Stegostoma tigrinum: one gene and its partner. The protein of the gene in region 2 purifies or fractionates together with the protein of the main gene of each other region. This does not show direct contact. Links are inferred from orthologs where the notes say so. Each region holds a gene or a part of one and is shown on either strand. Other genes may lie near its edges. The genes, in order: rngtt and polr2d.

Evidence for each region.
Region 1: the proteins of polr2d (region 2) and rngtt purify together in Homo sapiens (affinity purification with mass spectrometry; 3 studies listed by BioGRID and IntAct, with this or other methods). This does not show direct contact. The link is inferred for Stegostoma tigrinum from reciprocal best matches to the Homo sapiens genes POLR2D and RNGTT.

Annotation. Positions count from the first base shown.
Region 1 is NC_081357.1:40,538,511-40,549,206, reverse strand, and holds the start of rngtt (mRNA-capping enzyme), read left to right. Parts: upstream 1-6,476; 5' UTR 6,477-6,841; coding exon 6,842-6,905; intron 6,906-10,696. Other genes in the region: pnrc1 (proline-rich nuclear receptor coactivator 1), read right to left, coding at 228-671.
Region 2 is NC_081367.1:6,521,727-6,532,698, reverse strand, and holds polr2d (DNA-directed RNA polymerase II subunit RPB4), read left to right. Parts: upstream 1-6,089; 5' UTR 6,090-6,126; coding exon 6,127-6,199; intron 6,200-7,479; coding exon 7,480-7,660; intron 7,661-9,078; coding exon 9,079-9,174; intron 9,175-9,953; coding exon 9,954-10,032; 3' UTR 10,033-10,416; downstream 10,417-10,972. UniProt on the Homo sapiens protein: Core component of RNA polymerase II (Pol II), a DNA-dependent RNA polymerase which synthesizes mRNA precursors and many functional non-coding RNAs using the four ribonucleoside triphosphates as substrates.

The DNA of each region.
Region 1 (10,696 bases), on a different chromosome or scaffold from region 2:
TTGGCCACTTGTTGCTGGGGTGGGCGAGGAGGGAAAGGGGAGGGCGCGCGGCGTAACAGCCGTCGAACGGCCGCAGCGTTTAAACAGGGCCCTTCCCGCCCTGAAGGCAAGGCTAGGACTACTAACCGAGAACGGCGAATGTTTCCCACTTACCTCCCCCCTTATTAATTCCTAAACAGTGGGATGCAGGGCAGGCACGTAGAGGCATCAACTTTCTTGTCTCTCACCTTTACTTCCTTCTTGCGCTCTTCCGCGGTCAAGCAGCCGCCACTGGCTGGTGTCGTTTTCTCGATCCCGGAGGCTGGTGCGGGCCCTCCAGCCCCACCGCCTCGGGAAACCGGCCGCCCGTGAGAGTGTCTCTGCAGCAGCGCGGCGGAGGAAGAGCAGCGAATCTTCCAGGCTCGACTCACCGCGGCAGCTTTGCCGGGATGCTGTTGGGGATATTGCTGATGATGATGCTGCTGCTGGCTGGAGTGCGGGTGACGGTGGCGGCTCACAACGACGGTCTTTGAGGCTGCATTGACGGGCGGAGGGCCTGGCGGTGGTCGGGGTAGGGGTAACGGGTGCATGGGGACTCGCCGCCGCCGCCTCTTCCTCCGCTTACGACTTCTGGCTAAAATCCCGAACTCAGCATCTGAGGTGCGACGTTCAACGAAGGAGGCGGTCACCATGCAATGCCAAAAAACGTCTAATTCTTCCAAAGTAATTGTTGAGAAGCAAAGGAGGGGGTGGGTCCGGGGAAAGAGGAGAGTCACTGGCCTACCTCCAGATAATAAATACAGCTCGTCGTCGGATTAAAAGTTGAGTGAAAATGGCGGCCACTGAAGCGACTTCCTGCGATTGTTCGGTCACTCGCAAAACCTTCCTACCTCAGACTCTAGCTTTCCTCCCAACGCAAGCTATATATATATATATATATATATGTATATGTCGCTGGCTGGGTTTAATAACAGGCAAAGACTAAGAGGCCGACTCCAGCTTATAAACAGCACGAAGAACCATGGAGGCAACAGTCTTACACTTCTGACAACAACGGGGGGGGGGAATGGAGAAGGCAGGCGATCGCGACACGTCATCACTCACCGGTACCCACCAATGGTAGCGCGTTGTGGTGGTGCCACGTGACTAAAGACTTGGTCGCGCCGTCCCGTCCCGCCCTGTTCTTGCCCTTAGCAACCATGATGTCATTGGTCTGAGAGACGAGCCCGGATGCGGCAACGGGTATTGAAGTTGGGCGCAGGCGCACATAAGTCTGTCGCTTGTCTAATTTCTTGCAGTCGTACGTGTAACCTTTTTAACTATTTGTTTTGCCGTACTTGCTTACAGTTCCCTGTTTCCGTGAAGACCGTTGGAATTGAGTTTTGTGTATGTGGGCAGTGAAATGATCATCACGTGACGGTAATTTCCGTCTCTGGGGCGGTGACGTCTGCGCTGTCGGACGTCCTGAAACCTGTCAGTCCATTCAGATCGAAATTCGAATTCTTGCTCAATGACACGTGGTGTGGCGATGATTTCCACTGTTTTTGCTGTGGGATTTCCCTAAATTCCCCGGGAATACGGGAAATTGTACTCGTTGACACGCAACGAATTTCCTAAAACCGAAGAAGCGTTCTTTGACTAAAACGCTAATTGATTTCTGAACTTCCTTACGTTGACATTGTGTAACATAAATATCAGTCAATAAAATGATTATTTTCAGAAGAAAAACACGATTCATTCCATTTTCCCCCTGTACTTCCGTAAAACTTCCAATAGCTTTCTATTTCTTATACGAAAAGCACGTCCTCAGCCCGGGTATTCGAATGCGTTCAGGAATTTGCCTTAAACATTGCCACCTCCCCAAGGCAATGAGTTTATGCTTTTGATTCTGACGCAATCTATAGCCCTAGGAGCACCAATGCTTTGGAAGAGTTTTGCAATTTCATATCATAGAAATTAACCCTTTAAAAGTGATCTTCAAGCACCATCTTTGTAAGGACATTCTCTAGTCTGCACTGCTTTGGAACATTTTATTACTGTTTCCTACTCGCTACCCAATCGTTCACAGGCGATCAGCCACTAATGAATTTCTGGATAAATAATTGTACGAGTGGAATTAACGTTGAAGTTATTTCTGGATCAGGCAAGTACCTTCGAGGTGTGTCACAGCATATCCAAACAGGTTTATTAAACATTGGCAAGAGATGAGCAAAAAAAACTTTTTGAGTCACTAATTTGGGTTGAAGATAAGATCCTAACTTTTTGCAGACGCTATTTAGATACTTAACACTAAAATGTATTTAAAAATTATATATTCTAGTTTTTGTTTAAGTTTGTAGTCCTTGGTTTAAACATGGATTCTACTTGTGACTAGAATTTAAAAAGTACAACTATCATAAAATTACAAGGCAATTATTGTTCAGCAAGGCTGTTTTGTCTATCTTAATTTATCTAGCTATAAACATCTTAATTTTAATAAATTACTTTTCACATGCAAAATTAATTTCTTCTTATTCATTTGTGTGGTGTGGGCGTCACTGGCTGGCCAGTATTTCTTGCCCGTCCCTAGTATTTCTTGATAGCAATCAAATATGTTTAAGAGTCTGAACTGGTGTCCCATACATTCTACTCAATCAATTTGATTTATTCTATGCAGTGAATATCTAGCTCATGTTTAGAATATATTTCAGTTTTAGAATACAATTAAGAATTAAAGTTTAACTGGAAAAATTGAGATAAATGCAATTTATAGTTGAAACATCTGATGTTGTTTAAAATGTTGGTGCATGTTGCCTTCAGAGGTTAACATCTAGAAAGGTAATATCATAAAACTGTCAGTAAGCTTATTTTGTGAAAAGTTGGAGATGTGCAGCTCAGAGAAATAGCAAGAGCTGCAGATGCTGGAGTCAGAAATAACAATGTGGAGCTGGGGAAGTACAGTGGGCCAGACAGCATCAGAGGAGCAGGAAATTTGACGTTTGGGTCAGGACCGAAAATGTCAACTTTCCTTCGGTTGAGAGAGATGTAAATTAACTAAGCTTGAAACAGTTCAGTAAATCCTAAAAGGTTGGAAAACCCAATTACTTCATATTAAAGAAGGTATTATAAATTAAAGGAAAGCTGGAGGAATCCCTTTCTTCATGAAGCTTGCTCTATCACTCAAGCAGCTCATGGCTGATCTACTTCAACATTATTTTCCCACAGTCTTCATTTTCGTTTATTATTAATAGCTGCAAGTCTATTGATCTTGCACTTGAATATTTTCAATAACTTATATTTTCCACACTTCTCTCAAGTACAGACTTTCAAAGATTTATGATTGTCTCAATGAATAAAAACTTGTCCTCATCTCAGTTTTAAACTCATTCTGAGACTGCAAGTTAATTTAAACATCAATTTTAGTATAACTCAGAGCAGGCTATATCAGCCTGGTGATGGATAGAGTGCAATCAGTTTTTCTAGTTTCAGTTTGTCACAAACGTTTCCTCAGAAAGTTAGTTGCAGAGTTTACCTCATGTGGTTTGCAGAAGGTGGTTAAATAAATGTTAAGACCTGCATTGTAAGCTATTTTCATCATTGACCATTACGTGGGTGAGATTTAAATTCCGTTTTAATTTTGTGAGGGATTAGAAGATGGAAGATTGTCGAGTTTGAAGGCAGTAGTTCCTCTCAGTGTTATTGCAAAAGAAACTGGAGCAGTTTGGAATACTGGAAAAGTAACCAGAACAAAGGACTGAGGTAATCAGATTTTTTTTTTTAAAAATTAACAACTCCTAGGGAGATTGTCACAACTACTGTTCTCACACCAATTAGGATAACCTTAGATGCCTCCTTTCCTGTCCTCAATTTTTCCTTATAAGTCAAACATTTGAGATTATGAATCAGTCCTTTCTCTTCACCAGTTCTAATGCTTGAATATCTCACCCTTGTGGTTCATTAACTAGATTTGAAAGAACTGATTAAGCATAAAGTAAAACAGAAGAGAATTTGACTTTATTTTTTGAAAGGAATCCAATTAGTTCCACTTACTTGCCCCTTCTGTATATCTTTGCTAAATATAGTCATTGAACCCTGCTTTCCCCACTGTTTCAGACAGCTTATTTATTTTTATGAACTTGCAGCATTCGTATTTTCTCTTATGTCCTTGTTATGATTGAATCTTCCTGTGGTCATGATGTCTGGGAGCAGGAATGCTACCCCTGATACCACAAAATCTCCAAAAGCCACTTTTAATCAAGTGTTTTGACATACCTTTGGGGCAAATAATACTTGAAGTTAGATTCTACCACTGTACCACAAAGACTTCTCCATTTCTCACTTCATGTTGCCTGTAAGTATTTTGGGAATTATCCTAAATCTGTGTCTTTTGGTAGCTCGTTCTTTTGCCAATGAAGAGTTTTGGAAATATGGCTCCATGTTGTAGAGCTAGTGCATGCATTAGTTATGATTTTCCAATAATTTCTTGAATGGTCCTAGTCAACATACAGACAAGGAGCAGGAGTGAGCTATCCAACTCATTAAGTTTGTTCTGCCATTCAATTAGATTATGATTGAATTTGTTTTAGATTTTGTAAGAATGCAGGCTTGTGTATTTCCTGAATGATGACACGTCATGTTAGTCATGATGTGGAGGTAGCGGTGTTGGAATGTGGTGGACAAAGTCAAAAATCACAACACCAGGTTATAGTCCAACAGGTTTTTTTTGAAATCACAAGTTTTGGAGCATAGCCCTTTCGTCAGGTGAAATGAGAGAGAAGGACACTGACACAGAATTTATATGCAGAAAGATCAAGCGCAGAAAGTTCAAAAGAACATATAAATGATGTGAGTGGAGTGTCAAATAATAAGTTTCTGCATGTGATCAAAAGTGTCAGTCTGTGTCAGTATAGTGTCAACAGTTGAATTGCAAGCGAAGGGATCCGATTTATTTATTTATCATGTACTAAGTATGGGAATACATAAATACAGTGAAAAGTGCACAAAGTCGCCATTCACTAGTGCTCACTTGGTTACAAAAACCAGAATTAAAAGATTTAACAGAGCCTAAAGGTAGGCAAGAAAAAAAAATCCAGATCTGAGTCCCAAGTCCCAGCCAATAAAATGATGCAGAGATAACTACAAAAAATTAAAAATAAGGTAGTGCTTGAGACAAACCAAATGACTGTAACAACACAATAGGTATTACAGGGTAGGTGATGGCCTAGTGGTATTATTGCAAGACTATTAATCCAGAGACCCAGGTAATGTTCTGGGGTCCAGGGTTTCAAATCCTGCCAATAAAATTCTGGAATTAAGAATCTACTGATGAATGTGATATAATTGCTCATTGTCAGGAAAAGCCCATCTGGTTCACTAATGCCCTTTCGGGAAGGAGAACTGCTATCCTGGACTACATGTGACTCCAGACTTATAGCACTGTGGTTGACTGCCCTCTAGGCAATTAATGTTGAGCAATAAATGCTGCTGCAGCCAGTGATGCCCACATTCCATGAAATGAATTTAAAAAAAGTTGCATGCTGAGGATCTAAGCTAAGTAATCCAAAACTGTACAAACTAATTAAGAACTTGACTACCAGTTTCTGCTTGGCAATTCTGCATTGTAGTGTATCTCAAATGCTGCCTTGGAACCGATACCCAAGTTTTGTACCCATGAATACAGCCTCAACTGTGATCTTGTTATGTGTGACCCCAACACTCTGTTCTATATCAGTAAAATCTTTCTTACGGTCCTGTTTTTGACACCATCACCTCGATAAATCATTATGATCACTCTACCTCAATTACTTTGTACAGTTTTGGATTACTTATTACTTTAGTTAGACCCTCAGCATGTGACTCATACCTTACATGTTATTACAGTCAAGATCACAAAGTGTGGAGCTGGATGAACACAGTAGGCCAAGCAGCATTTCAGGAGCACAAAGGCTGACGTTTCGGGCCTAGACCCTTCATCAGAGTGCTCCTGAGATGCTGCTTGGCCTGCTGTGTTCATCCAGCTCCACACTTTGCAGACGCTGGAGAATCCAAGATAACAGTTCCCATTATCAATGTTATTACAGTCATTTGGTTTGTCTCCAGCACCACCTTATTTTTATTTTTTTGTAATTATCTATCTGCCTCATTTAATCAGTCATCCCTTTACTTGTTATTCAGCTGATGACGTTTTTCTCACACTGTCTGGCAGTTTTGATTACCTGCAGAGACTTATTATTTAACACTCCACTTACACCATTTGTATGACCTTTTGATTTCTCTGCCTACATATTCTGTCTCAGTGTCCTTGTCTCACACTTCACCTGGCGAAGAGGCTACCCTCCAAAAGTTTGTGATTTCAAATAAACTTGTCGGGCTAATAACCTGCTGTGGTGTGACTGCCGACTTGTCACGTGAGGGATGGGGTGCGCTTGGACACGTCACTTTGCGACTGTCCCAACAGCAGGGGGATAAGGCGCTGCGGGGGCGCGCTATGCCTGCGCGGCGCGATGGGGGAGCGGGCATGCGTGCGCGTGCACATTCTGCCCTCGGGTGCCCGGCGGCGTGGAACCTACTCGCTGCCAACGGTTTAAAGGCGCTCCCCCAGCGACAGCGGATTTCCACCATACCACCAGCCGGAAAACACAGACTCGGCTTCAGCGGTATTTCCTTGGGTTTTCGCTTTTAAGTCGACAGCAGCAACAAACCCCGGGCCTTACCGGGACATTAGGGGCCGAGCTGAGGCCTCCAAGCCGGGGACTCGCTTGTGATTTGAGGAGGGAAAGAGCGCGACGAGGATCCGGCAGTGACTTGGAGGCGATATTTCCCCTTTCGTCCCCTCCCGCTGCTGCCAGAAGCAAGAAAACTTGTGGTGGTGTGAGATTTCGGCATGTCAAACAGCGCAATCCCCCCGCGATGGCTGAATTGTCCCAGGAGAGGACAGCCGGTGGCAGGTGAGTTGTCAGAAATCAGCCATGGTGGGGGCGATGCTTTTTGCTTTCCTTTTGTTGTCTTTGATTAGTTGCATTGTGCAGTAATTCAAAATACTGAGGAGATCATCTCGGAAGCTTGAAAACTTGTTCCGTGGTCTAGCTGAATCGAAATTACTAGTTGGGGTGGCGGTTGCTGCAATGTTGTTCAGCATCCAATCATGACCAGGGAGCACGTTTCAAATAAGGTTGAAGAAGGAACGTTTTTCACATGTGGATGGGATACTACGAGTATTAATTAACCTAAATTCTGCTTAACACACTGATTGGTCAGTTCTTTCTGGTGTGTAAGATACTTTATTTATAAACTTTCCTTAGCTGTCTAAATGTTGAAATTGATTAAAAGAGCATCATGAGTCAAAGCCTCTAAGGTAAAATGCAGTATTGGTAGTCTGTTTACTGCAATGTCTGTATTGAAAACTTTGTTCCGAAAACACACTGACGCCTACTAGTGCTTGTAGCTGGTGTGTTCACTTGAACCTGATGCAGATGGTTGCACATAAAGATGGTTGTATGTAAATTTGTTTTCGCCTAGGTACCAGGCCATAAATATGAATATTACAGAATTGAATGGGGCATATGGAATTGGTGCAGAAGTAGACAGTTAGGCCTGTAAACCACCTCTGCTGCATAAACTGTTTGTCTGTTTGTTTGTAGATCCACATTCACATCTCTAATTGATATTTGGTTGCCCAGCCTAACAAGAATCTATTTAACTCTGCCTTTAAAATATTATACGACCTTGGCTCCACCGTGTTCTGAGGCAGACAGTTCCAAACTTGTACATCGTCTGAGAGGGGGGAAAAATTGTCCCCATCTCTGTGATAGCAAGAACTGCAACTGCTGGAGTCAGAGTCAACACAGTGTGGAGTTGGAGGAACACAAGAGGTTAGGCACCATCAGAGGAGTTGGAATGTTGATGTTTGTTTCTGGTTCGGGATCTTTCTTCAGTTCAGGTCCCAACACGAAACGTTGATTTTCCTATTCTTGTGATGCTGCCTGTCCTGCTGTGTTGACTTGTCCTCATATCTGCTCTGAAAAGTTAACCCTTAATTTTGGAACCGTATCCACTAGAGTTATAGGGCCACAGTGTCATACAGCATGGAAACAGACCCTTCTGTCCATGCTGATCACAATCCCAGATTAAACTAGTCCCACCTGCCTGAGCTTGGTTCATGTCCCTCCAAATATTTTTTATTCATTTACTTATCTAAATGTCTTTTAAATGTTGTAACTGTACTTGCATCCACCACTTCCTGTGGAAGTTCATTACACACGTGAACTGCTGTCTGTTTTTTAAAAAAAAAACCCTTCTTGTCTTTTTCACATCTTTCTCCTATCACCGTAAAAATGTGCCCCATAGTCTTGAAATCCCCCATGCTAGGGAAAAGACACCTGCCAGCCACGTTATCTATACTCCCTATGATTTTAGAAACTTCTACAGGGTCGTCCCTCAAACTCCTATGCTTGAGTGAAAAAAGTCGCAGCCTATCTCTCCTCTTCTCCATAATTCAAATCTCCAGTTACTGGCAACATTATGGCAAATCTCTTCTGAACTGTCACCAGCTTAATCATTAACTTCCTATAACAGGGCAACCGGAACTGCACACAGTATTCTAAAAGAGTCTTCACCAATGCCCTGTACAACCTCAACGTAACATTCCAACTCGTATAAACAAAGGTCTGAGCAATGAAGGAGAATGTGTTAAATGCCTTGATTGCCCTATCTATCTATATGTGATGCAAACTTCAAAGAATTCTATACCTGAACTCTTAAGTCTCTCAGTTCTACAATACCATCCAAGGCCCTACCATTATTTATACATTGTTTGTTTTACTAAAATGCAATACTTTTTGTATTTATCCAAATTAAGCTCCATCTACCATTCTTCAGCCCATTGACCCAATTGATCAAGATCTCTTTGTAATCTTAGATAATCTTCTTCACTCTCCACTGTATCACCAACCTTGGTGTCATCTGCAAGTTTACTAACCATACCTTCTATATTTTTATCTAAATCATGAGAATAAAATCTAAAAGTGGAGCCAGCACCGATCCCTGTGGAATACTGATGGTCATAGGCCTCCAGTCTGAAAAACAGCACTCCTCCATCACACTCTGACTCCTGTAAAGCCAATTTTGAATTCAGTTGACATGCTCACCCTGAATTCCATGTGATCTAACTTTTTATTAATTACTTTACCATGCAGAACCTTGTCAGAAGCTTTACTAAAAGTCCAAGTAAGCAATATCTATCACTCTAATAAAAACCAAAAGAACTGCGGATGCTGTAAGACAGGAACAAAATCAAAGTTGCTAGAAAAGCTCAGCAGGTCTGGCAGCATCTGTGAAGCAGAAACCAGAGCTAACGTAGTATGGTGACCTTTCCTCAGAACTTTGTTTTTGTTCAATGTTTACCACTCTGTCTGCATCAATCTTCATGGTTAGTTCCTCAGAAAACAGTCCAAGTTGTGGGACACGATTTCCCTCACTCAAAACCATGCTGACTATCCCTAACCAATTTTAAAGGAAGGATAGAAAGAGGCAATCGAGGAGGGGCAGTGGTGTTTTTGATTCAGGAAAGCATGACTAATCTAACTAGAAAAGGTATTTCTGAAAGAATTGTCATGTGAAAGTGTATGGGTTGAAATTAGAAATAAAAAAGGAATGATCACCTTGATGGGATTGTATATAGATCACCCAATAGTTAGAGGGAAATTGAGCAACAAATATCAAGAGAAATTTCAGATATGTGTAAGAATAACAAGGTTTTAACAGTAGGTAATCAAATTTACAGGCATCACCTGGGACTACCATGGTGTAAAAGATTTGAATGGTGAAGAATTTGTTAAATGTCATTTATTCGTGAGATATACACATAGAAACAGACCCTTCGGTCCAACTCGTCTAAGCTGACCAAATATCCTGTATCAATCTAGTCCCATTTGGCTCATATCCCTCTAAACCCATTGTACTTGTTCAGTTGTAATCATACCAGCCTCCAGCACTTCCTCTGGCAGCTCATTCCATACATGCACCAGTGTCTGACTGAAAACGTTACCCCTTATGTCCCTGTTATATCTTTGCCCTCTCACCTTAAACCTATGCCCGCTGGTTTTGGACTGCGACATACCCCAGGGTTATTCACCTTGTTCATGCCCCTCCTGATTTTATAAACCTTTTTATAAAGTCACCACTCAGCCTCCGACACTCCAGGGAAAATAGCCCCAGCGTATTCAGCCTCTTCCTATAGGTCAAACTCTCCAACCCCAGCAGTATCCTTGTCAGTCTTTTCTGATCAACTTCAAGTTTCACAACATCCTTTCTGTAGGAGGGAGACCATTTACTCTGAGGTAACCATATTCGCTGTCCACTACACTTCCAATTTTAGTGTCATCTGCAAACTTGCTAACCATACCTCCTATGTTCACATCTAAATCATTTATATAAATGATAAAAAGTAGTGGACCCAGCACCAATTCTTGTGGCACATAGTTGGCCATGGGGCCCCCAGTCTAAAAAGCGACCCTCACCACCACCTTCTGATTTCTTCCTTTGAGCCAGTTCTATATCCAGAAAGCTAGTTCTCCCTGTATTTCGTGTGATCAAACCTTGCTAACCAGTCTACCACAATGAACCTTGTTCACTGCTTTACTGAAGTCCATGCTCTGCCCTCATCAATTCTCATTGTTATTCTTTCAAAAAAAGAACAAGCCAGTTAGTGAGACATGATTTCCCACACACAAAGCCATGT
Region 2 (10,972 bases):
TGCTCAGCATCTGAACACAGTGGCAGAATCGGGGAAACCAAGTGGAGGCTTGGGGACGGCTTTACAGAACACCTATGCTCAGTTCGTGCTAAACAACTGCACCTCCCAGACATGAACCATTTCAACTCTTCCTCCCATTCCTCTGATGACATGTCCATCCTGGGCCTCCTGCAGTGCCACCCGAAGGTTGCAGGAACAGCACCTTATATTCCGCTTGGGAACCCTGCAACCCAATGGTATCAATGTGGACTTTACAAGCTTCAAGATCTCCCCTCCCCCTACTGCATCCCAAAACAAGCCCAGCTTGTCCCCGCGTCCCTAACCTGTCCTTCCTCCCACCTATACCCTTGTCCCACCTCAAGCCGCACCCCCATCTCCTACCCAATAACCTCAACCCGCCCCCTTGACCTGTCCATCCTCCCTGGACTGACCTATTCCTTCCCTAACTCCCCACCTACACGCACCTGTACTGGCTCCATCCCCGCCTCTTTGACCTGTCTGTCTCCTCTCCACCTATCTTCTCCTCTATCCATCTTCTATCCGCCTCCCCCTCTCTCCCTATTTATTTCAGACCCCCTTCCCCTCCCCCATTTCTGAAGAAGGGTCTAGGCCCGAAACATCAGCTTTCCTGCTCGTCTGATGCTACTTGGCCTGCTGTGTTCATCCAGCTCTATGCCTTGTTATCTCAGTGTTGGAACTTCCTGTTTGTGTTCATGACCTCCTTCGGCCAGGAAAGATTCTTGTCGTTGCCACTTTGACAGCGTCTTCCATCACCCAACCAGGTAGGTGTCCCTACCTCCTGGCTGGCAGATCTGAGTTCAGGCCCCATCTGAACCCTTAATGGCCAGTGAAAGTACATCAGAACATGGCCCAGCAGGTTGGTTATCAATATATAAATCTTTATGATTCGGTAAAAATAAATGTGCAAGTTTCCTGGCCAGCCAGAATCAGGTGCTAGCGACAGCACAAGCCTCCCCACGTTAAAAGACTCCATGCACAGGTTCTTACCAGGATTGAGTGTTTAGCCTTGCTGTGGAGGTCTACCACACACAAACATGCTCTCTGACTTTACCAGAATTATCCCTTCAGGCACTCCTCTGATGGACCAACCTTGCAGTTTCACACATTCCTTTCTCCCCAACTACCTCCTCAAATCTCCATCTCAGCAGCCAACATTCAGACCGTAATTAACCACACCCATCCTGGACAATTGCCCTCCACAAATGTTCTCATTCCATCCTTATCACAAATTCCAATTCTCACATTCATAACTCTCCACTTCAGAGGTGAAAGTAAGTTTTGAAATTTGATTTGAGGTTACATTTTGACTTCCCGCTGCTGCTGGTATCTCTTCCAGCCAGGAGGTATGTTGTTGTTGTGGTATGTTGTGCTCCCCTCACATCCAACTGTGGCTCATCAGCAACCACTCTGTTATTTCCCTCATTTAATTAGAGCTAGTTGAACAGCTATTTCTGCAATTCTCAGCCTTGCCTGAGGAAAGACATTTCTGCAGCTTTCCAGCTCTGACCAAATACCAAAACACTAACAGTTTTTGTTTTCTGGATGCCATTTTTAGACTCCTTTTTGCACTCATGATTTCAAGGACCTCTTAATGACTGTAGTCTGCATTTGGAACTTTTTAGCATGTATCTTTGCACCCACCTTTCAAAGGTTTCCATTTTCTCCCCATGCATTTTTCTAATTGTTTGGGTTTCCGATGCATACAGGAAAGTGGATAGAATCTAGCATTTTATTTTCTTGCTACATATCTGAAAATTGTACATTTCCACCGACCCATAACATTTCACCGCCTTACTATTCAAGTACTACTTATCTCTGCCTCATGGTATTTAAAGGCTATTTTCTTATATTTAAGTATGTATTTAATTTTATTTTATATTTTAGATATTTTATACTGAGTTTTAATCAGAAAGAGAGTTAAGGGTTTTGGGGAAATGCAGAAAACTGGAGATGAGGATTATCAGATCAGCCATGATCTTGTTAAATAGTGTAGCGAACTCAATGGGCTGAATGGGCAGAATGAATCTACCCTACACCTTGTGTTCTTATGACCTTACCTGAAATGACAAAGGTTTTATTAGTTAGCTCTGCTACTCGGCACTTTTTAGAGATCATTTCTATTAGTCACTAATTTATTCAAATTATTGCTTTGGAATTTTGTTTCAAATTCATGTTTAGTATTTATGACTTTATCTGCCCAAAATTTGTTAGCTGGCCCTGTATGAGAGATAAATGGAAAGATAGTTCCTCATACAAAACAATTGGAAATCCCTGATATGTTTGTGTGAAGACCCCAAACATTTGGCATTAGCTAAAGACAAAGATGACACAAAGCTAGGTAGGAAAATATGTCAAAAGAACATAAAGAGACTACGAAGGGATTTAGTCAGGTAAGTGAGTGGACAAAAACTTTCGAAATCAAATTGGCAAAGATGGCCTGTAGGATGTGTTCCTGGAATAGTTTCAAAGACAATACACACTGGAAGCTACAAGGGAACAACTTTATCAATTGGGAATGAAACAGAATAAATTAATGACCTTTACAGTAAAGGATGCCTTCGAGAGGAGTGAATAAGGCATGAAAGAATTTGAGATTCAGTTTGAGTGAGAACTGCAGGTCCATAACAAATCTTTGGATAAAGGCAGAAGGATGTCCAAACAGTTAGCGAAAGTCAATAGTCTTCAAGGTTAAAGATAAAAAGTCACCCCATGAATATTAGAAAATCAATCAGCAAAATGAAGGAAGTGAAAGAAAACAGTCACCAAAAAAGCACAGGAAAAGCAACAGAAATCAAACACACTGACAAGTCCACTGGATCTGATTGTCTGCATTCTGTGGAATAAATGAAACTAGCGACAGAGAAATGGTAAATGCATTGGTTGTAATCTTCCAAAATTCCCTAGATTCTGGAACAGACCCAGCCCAGTGGAAAACCAGAAAATACACCTATGTCCAAGAAAGGAGAAAGACAAAGAAATGATAGATTAGTTACTCCAATGTCTGGCATTAGGAAAATGCTACAATTCACTACAAAGTAGGTAGTGGAAGGACAATCTGAAATTAATACTATCAAGGAGAGTAAATATGGTTTTGTGAAAGAAAAATTTGATTGATATTTGCAGTAATGTCCTTTAAGAATGTAACAAGCGACATATTTAAAGGGGAACTAGTAGCTGTAGTGTATTTGGATTTCTGAAAGGCATTTGATAAAATCACTGCATGAAAGCCAACCACAAAAGGTAAGCATTCATGGTGTTCAGGGTGTTTAGCATGTGTAGAGAATGAACTAAGAAGATAAAAGTGGTTGAGATAAATGTGTCATTAGTATGATGACAAACTGTAACTAGCAGAATACCACAGGGATCAGTACGAGAAACTGACTATTCACCATCTATGTCCGTGACTTTGTTAAAGGGACTGACTGTTTTGTAGCCAATTCTGCTGATAATACAAAGATAAGTTGGGAATTAAATCTACAAAGAATGGGGAGTCAGAAATTATCAGATATAATGCAATGTGGGAAAATGTGAGGTCATCCAATTTGGCAGAAATAGAAAAGCAGACTATTATTTAAGGCAGAGAGACACTGCAGACTTCTTATATATATCACAAATAATCAGCCACCAAGTGCAGCATGTCATTCGGAACACAATGGATTTTAGGCTTCGGCACCCTTGTGACACATTGGTAGATCTCTACCTCTGAGTCAGGTGGCCTAGGTTCAGATCCCACCACTCCAGAGGTGTTACATCCCTGAACAAGTTGATGAGGCAAGTGTTTGGAATGTTGGCATTTATTACAAAAGGAGTGGAGAATACAGGTAGGGATGTCTTAAAACTGCAGAGGCCATGAGTGAAATCACATTGAGCACAACTCTGGTCAGCTTAAGGAGGGAACCCTACTTACACTGGAAGCAGGAGGAGAGTCACTTAGAAGATTTGCAGGATGAAGAGGTCTGTCTTATAAGGAGAGGTTGAGCAGAATGGGCTTGTTGGAGGTTAGGAGAATGAGATCTTATTGACACAAAGACGTTTCTGAGGAGGCTTGTCAAGATGGATTCTGAAAGGATGTTTGCCCTCAGGTGCAAGTCTAGAATTAGAAGCCAGAGTTTTAAAATAATGAGTTTCCCATTTAAAATGAAAATTACTCATTCCCTTAGAGGCAGGTTGACCAACATTTGAGGAAAAGATTAGGGGAGGCTCACCAAATCTTAAGTGTTGCTGAACTTCCAAGGACAGATTGCAGCTGAAAATGAGTAGGTAGGTGGTTGTTGAGACTTTACCTCTGATGAAGTTGTTGGAGCAGAAGACCAGCAAAGCATTCTGTGCATAAACCATTACCACAACGCTCAAAAGTCAAAGATCTCTAAATGGCACCTGTGGGGACTGTTGACAGTTTTTGGGAATCCAGAACAGAACCCACAGTATTGGAGGTATTATATTGGCATGAATGGCGAATTGACTAATGGGCAGGAAACAGTCAGTGGTGATAAGGGTTTTTTTTCAGCTTGGTGACTTGTAACCAGTGGGTTCCACATGGACCAGTGCTGGACCGCAACTGTTTACTGGAGTATAAGAGTAGGGAAGTCTTATTGTAACTACAAGGTGCTAGTGAGACCACATCTGGAGTACTGTGAGAGCAATTTTGGTCCACTTATTTAAGGAAATTATTTAAATGGAGGCAGTTCAAAGAAGATTCACCAGGATGATCGCTGGTATAGAGGACTTGGCTGATGAGAGGTTGAACAGATTGGGACTCTACTGTTGGAACAAGAGTGATATCATTGAAACTATAGGATTCTTCAGTAGCTTGACAGGGTCAAATGCTGAAAGCATGTTTCCCCTCATGGGAGACTCTAGGACCTGAGGGCATAGTCTCACAATAAAGGGGCATCAATTTAAGACTGAGATGAATAGGAATTCCTTCTCTCAGAGGATTGAGAGTCTTGGGAACTCCGTGCTACAGAAAGTTGTTTTGGCACGGGGTCCTTATGTGTATTTAAGGCTGAGATAGGTTCTTGATCAATAGGGAAATGAAGGGTTACAGGGAAAGAGCAGGAAATAGGAGACGAGGAATGTTGAATCAACCATTATGCTATTGAATGGCAGAGCAGGCTTGAAGGGCTGAACAGACTACTCCTGTTTCAATTTCTTATGGTCTTAATAGTTGGTCACCCTCTGTAGAGGGTAGTTTGTGTTTTGAATTCACATGGAAAGCAATGTAATTTGGGCTATTGAATACATTCAAGTCGGAGTTATATATTGACAAGGGAGTCAAAGATTCCAAGGAGGTCAGGCATGAAAATGGAGATAAGGCCACAATCAGATCAGCCATGCAAGGTGAAGTAGACTCAGGGCTGACCTGAGTCACCTGGGTATGTTCTTATTGAAAGGGACATTGTTCTTCCTCAGGGAGTAGACCCATAGAATTATATAAGTATTATGGTGCACATGAAGCCATTCAGCTCATTGTGCTGACAACAGCTTGTGAAAAGTGCACCAATACCTAGTGCCAGTATCCTGCTTTCCCCTCATAGCTTTGAGTGTTATTTACATCGCCCTCTTGAATGCGTCAATTCAATGTGCCTCCATCACATTTCCAGGCAGTGCATTCCATAGCCTAACTACTCACTGTTTGTACAGGTTTTTCCTCACTTCACCCTTGTTTCTTTTGTAGATCACTTTAGCTTTATGTCCTCTTGTTCTTACATAAAACAAAGAGAATGTGCATACTGCAGATCTGAAACAAAACAGAAATTGCTGGAGAAACTGAGCAGGTCTGGGCAGCCTCTGTGGCGAGGATGCAGAGTTAAAGTTTCGAGTACAGATTCCCTTCTTCCTCTTACGAGCGGGACCCATTCAGTCACTCAGAATCATGACGCTGATTGACCGACTCAATCCAACAAAATGTTTTAACGAATAGGAAGGCAAGAACCCGGGCCAGGCTGGAGCCACACTGTTCCCAGGCTATTTTCAGTGACCAGGTTCCGCCTGTATCAAACGTGGCAGCGCCCGGGGTGGGGGGGAAGCCGTACAGCTTTTGCGCATGCGTCTGGATGGGCTGGGATCTGGTCTGGTCTTGTTCCGGGTCAGTGAGGACTTGCAATGGCGGCCTGTGGTAGTGAGGCCCGGGTCGGCGATGTGGAGGAGGACGCTTCCCAGCTGGTGTTCCCGAAAGGTACTGGCGGAGAGGGAGAGGGATGGATATGATGATGATAATGGGGTGAGAAAGGTAAATCATTGAAAGTTCCTGCTGTATTCTCAGTCAGTTCTCACTCTGTTTTATATGCTCAATTCACTTCTAGTTTGCCCTTCAAGAAATGCTGCATAAAGACATAACATAAGCGACAGGCCACCAAGTTCAAGAGAGAATGATAACAATAGCAGCAGTATGCTCAGGGAACAGGGTGAAGGGTTGGCCACTGAGCATGCCACTTTCATTCTCCTTTTGTGAGTCAGAGAATCCCTGTAGTACAGAAGGAGGCCATTTGGCCCATAGAGGTCGGCACTGACCCTCTGAAAAACATCCCCGGCAGACCCACCCCATCCTTGTAACCCTGCATGGGGCTTTTAACCATGGCCAATCCACATCTTTGGACTGTGGCAGGAAACTGGAGCACCCGGAGGAAAACCACACGGATACAGGGAGAATATGCAAACTCCACATGGACAGCCACCCAGGGTCGGAATTGAACCTGTTACCCGGCACTGTGAGGCAGCGATGCGAACCACTTTCAGGAAAGCCTCAGAGTTGTAGAATCATACAGCACAGTAAAGGCTTTTCTTGCCCTTGAGTCTGTTCCACCATAAATACACTACTTCCTTTGCTATTCCCACTTAAGTTCTTCACTTACCTTTTTTAAAAAAAAGCTTATGAATTGCTTTCTGCCAAATTCCAACTGTACACATCTACTACTCAGCAAATGTTCCACTGGAGAAGCATGTATGTGGCACAATGATTTAATCCTCTGAAATTACCTTGCTCAATGTGTGCAATACGGTACTGTTCGCTCCCTCTTTCTAGGCTTCAGATATGGAAACTCAGTACACAGGAATGGAAGGAGTTAACCTGTTATCAGGTGATCGCTCAGAGATAGCAAGAACTGCAGATGCTGGAGTCAGAGATAACACAGTGTGAAGGTGGGGGAAGAGGAACACAGGCTAAGCAGCAGCAGAGGAGCAGGAAAGTTGATGTTTCGGGTTGGGACCTTTCTTTAGAAATCTTCAGAAATCAAGGGACCTGACCCGAAACGTCAATTTTCCTGCTCCTCTGCTGCCTGGCTTGCTGTGTTCCTCCAGCTCCACACTTTGTTACCAGTTGATAGATGTTTGAGCTTAAGTACTATCAATATGGTATTCAAAAAACTAAGTTATTGGAAGTTGTTTGGGAGGGGCATTGTTAGGTAACTGACTGAAGGTTTGGCTACATTTTGGTTGTTTTGTTTTATGTTGTCACAGAGTTTGAAAGCTCAGAGACCCTGTTAAACTCTGAGGTCCACATGTTGCTGGAGCACCGGAAGCAGCAGAACGAAAGTGCAGAAGATGAGCAGGAGCTCTCTGAAGTGTTTATGAAAACGTTAAACTATACAGCCAGATTCAGCCGCTTCAAAAATAGGGAGACCATTGCCAGTGTTAGGAGGTCAGTGCGTGAGGATTCGAAAATATTCAGTGCACCTACTGATCTGCAGTATTGCTCTTGCTGGGGTTGGGAGGGGTGAATTAATTCTCTTACTTGTCCCATCCTTCCCTGGTCCCAACAGATTTGGAATTTGAAAGGGGGGGGGTATTTTCAATTATATATAGTATCAGATTGTATATTTAGTCCACATCAAAGCAAGTCAGCCATGGTCTTTAAGTAACAAGTCACGAATTAACTTATTGTATATGAAGCTTACTGAAGCAAATTGTTGAGATTAACTTAAGGTTTAAGCTGTCAAATATATTCAATTTCTCCTGAAAAATAACACTCACTCACTCGGATGCAGTGAGAGAGACAAATTTGAAAACATTTCAATGTGTTTTCTTAAGTGTTTAACCAAGTTACAATCTAATTTTTTAAAAAATCAGTGTCCAAATGGTAATCTGTAGCAGAGTCACTTTGCTTACAAAATATTGGCAATAGGATTTCTTCCTGGATCACATGTGACTAGCTGATTTTCTTTTGAATTTGGTGATAGATTCTGATTCTCCTTCAAGAACTCAGAGTGCAGCAATCAGAACTATTCCCATTAGGAACTAATACTTGATGAAATCTTTCAAAAGGTTTATAACTCAAACTTTTAAGATGAGTTTCAGAGAAAACAGAGATGGTAAGGGCTGTGCTCAAGGCAAGTTATCTCTCTGGTTATCTGAGCTCAAATCATCTACTTTTCTTTCCCTGGAACCAAAACTGGATCATGTGACTTTTCTGAAGGTGTTGTGGACTTGGCATCTTCATTGAAACAACCTGTTCCTTCTAAATGCAATGGTTTTGCTACTGTAGTCATTGTATTTTGTTTTGCAGTGTCTCTTCCTAAAAGTTCAAAGCACATATGTCCAAACAGTGCTATTATAATAATGTGACAGCTAAATTGTCTTTGTGACAGTATTCACAGCAAATTTCAGGCAAATTCAGTGGCAAGTGGGCTAATTCTATCCTCTGAGCTTAGTGCACAATTATCCTATGATGACATATTGCACAATTTTGACTTCTGACTAAGTATGAAGGTTGATAACTTGATCCTCTTGAATACTGATCCTTTTTGCCTGCTTTTGGCTCAAAGTTAACAACTGTGGCTGGGATCTGTTGACTGTGTTTGACAAGGAAATGTTTCCTGGTAACTATATCAACTTTGTCATTTTCTTTCAGTAGTTATTTTATTATCTTTCAATTTACTTGTCTACTATTAACTGTCTTACTCTATTATCACAGATAAATAGAATTGATCATATTATTCTTCTCAGTCCTGTTTACGCTTGTGTTGTATTTAATCACATTTAGGCTCTTGTGAAGAGATCGAGTTGAACTAGTGTGTGGCTTTCATTTGAAGTATAGCTTTCACATTCTCTTTCTTGTAGTCTGCTATTACAGAAGAAATTACACAAATTTGAGCTAGCCAGTTTGGCCAATCTGTGTCCTGAGACAGCTGAGGAGGCCAAAGCCCTCATTCCCAGGTCAGTGCTCTTTCTGTACTGTTTCTTTCGAGCATGGGGTCCACTGAAGGCACCGAGGTCAGTCGTGAAGTAAATACAATTTCCATGTATGTATGCTTCTCCAAACATGTAGGACTGGAGGAAATGGAAGAGCTGGGGAGTGACAGTACTGATTTGAAAGCAAGAATGAGAACTTTAAAGACAAGGCATTGGCTCCCGGTTAAGCAATCAGAGCAAATATTTCTTTTCTGTGCGTTCTCCTGAGTGCTACATTTTGATTTTTGGGGGCTATTTTTTCCTTCTCTTTAATTATTTTATGAGGTGACGCAGCCATTTATTAGCATTTCTGTCTGTATTTGTGTTGATGTTTATGGCATTTGAATTCTCATGGAAGCAGGTTCGAATAATTCTTCAGTACCCTCGTCTTGGAGAACACGGTATACAAGTGGGCATAAGACAATGGCATAAGTTTGTTTTGCAAAATAAGTATGAAAACAACCATCGCCCTAAATATACCTTCTACGTTGGTGACATCTTGAGCTGATGAGTTTCCATTGTATGCTAACAAAGCTGGAATATTTTAATGAAGTGATTGGGAATGAACTGAACTGAGTTTGGAACAAATATGTTTATATCAATGTCACTGTCTAATGGATGTAGCTCTTCGGGATCTGGCAGTTTTAAATCTGCATGTAGAGTAATTGTTTTTAGTCACCTAACTGTGATGGTGGTTGCAGAATATTCATGCTCTTTTCTTCTCTTTGTTCCCCTGCTCCCACTCTATTTTGTAAAAATTTCAGCTTGGAGGGTCGATTTGAGGATGAGGAGCTCCAACAAATCCTTGACGACATTCAGACCAAGCGAAGCTTTCAGTATTGATTCCAATATCTGCTAAAGCCCAGCTCTTCCTGATGCTAATCCACTGAACAATGGTGCTGGTGCTTCTCTCTGATGTGAACTGATTGTACAGAGAGTGGAGGTGCCGACCCTATAGGCTGAAGCAAACCAAATGCACTGAATGTGACTGTGAACCCTTGGACTAGTCCTAAATCCAGAGCTGTTTAGTAACATGTTACTTGACACCTAAGAGTACAAAGACGCTCTGGGGTCACAGAATAGGAATATTGCCTGTTTTTGTTTCAATCTGATGTCTTTGACTGTGTTTTGTTTTCCCTTCCATTCTGATAAATCCTGTAACTAATTCTGATGGGATATTAGCCCCACGTTGTTTTATTAAAGTGAAGACCCATATGTTGGATCCTAGTTAAGATTGATTCTGTCAGGAGAGGAATGAAGCTGTTCCTCTTATGCAGACTTAGGAAAATGCAACAACAATCTATTGACAATGGTTGCCAGTCAGGCCCATGGCACCTTTTGGAAACGTGGTGTATTTTACTGAACTGGGCCTTTATTCCACTCTGTCCATACAGGTATTTTATATAATTATCGATTTCGGCCTGCCTTGAACATGTACTTCAATAATATGCAACAGGGAAATGAGAAAGGGAACAGCTCCTGGTAATTGCACAGGTATCCCTTTACAGTGAGGCCATCGCCCTCTGTTGGGTTTGGTTTCACTGTTGTTACTTTTGCTGTGTGAATGTGGACAGTGAGTCGTGTCACTTTTATTAATTTATGCGGCATCAAGTATCCAGCAGGAAAGGCTCAACGATGAGGTGTCCCGCAGGGTTCAGTGTTGGGGCCGGAGCTGTTCACCTTATATATTAATGATCTGGCTGAAGGGACTAGGGACATTCTGGCGAAGTTTGCCGATGATACAAAGATAGGTGGACAGGCAGGTAGTACTGAGGAGGTGGGG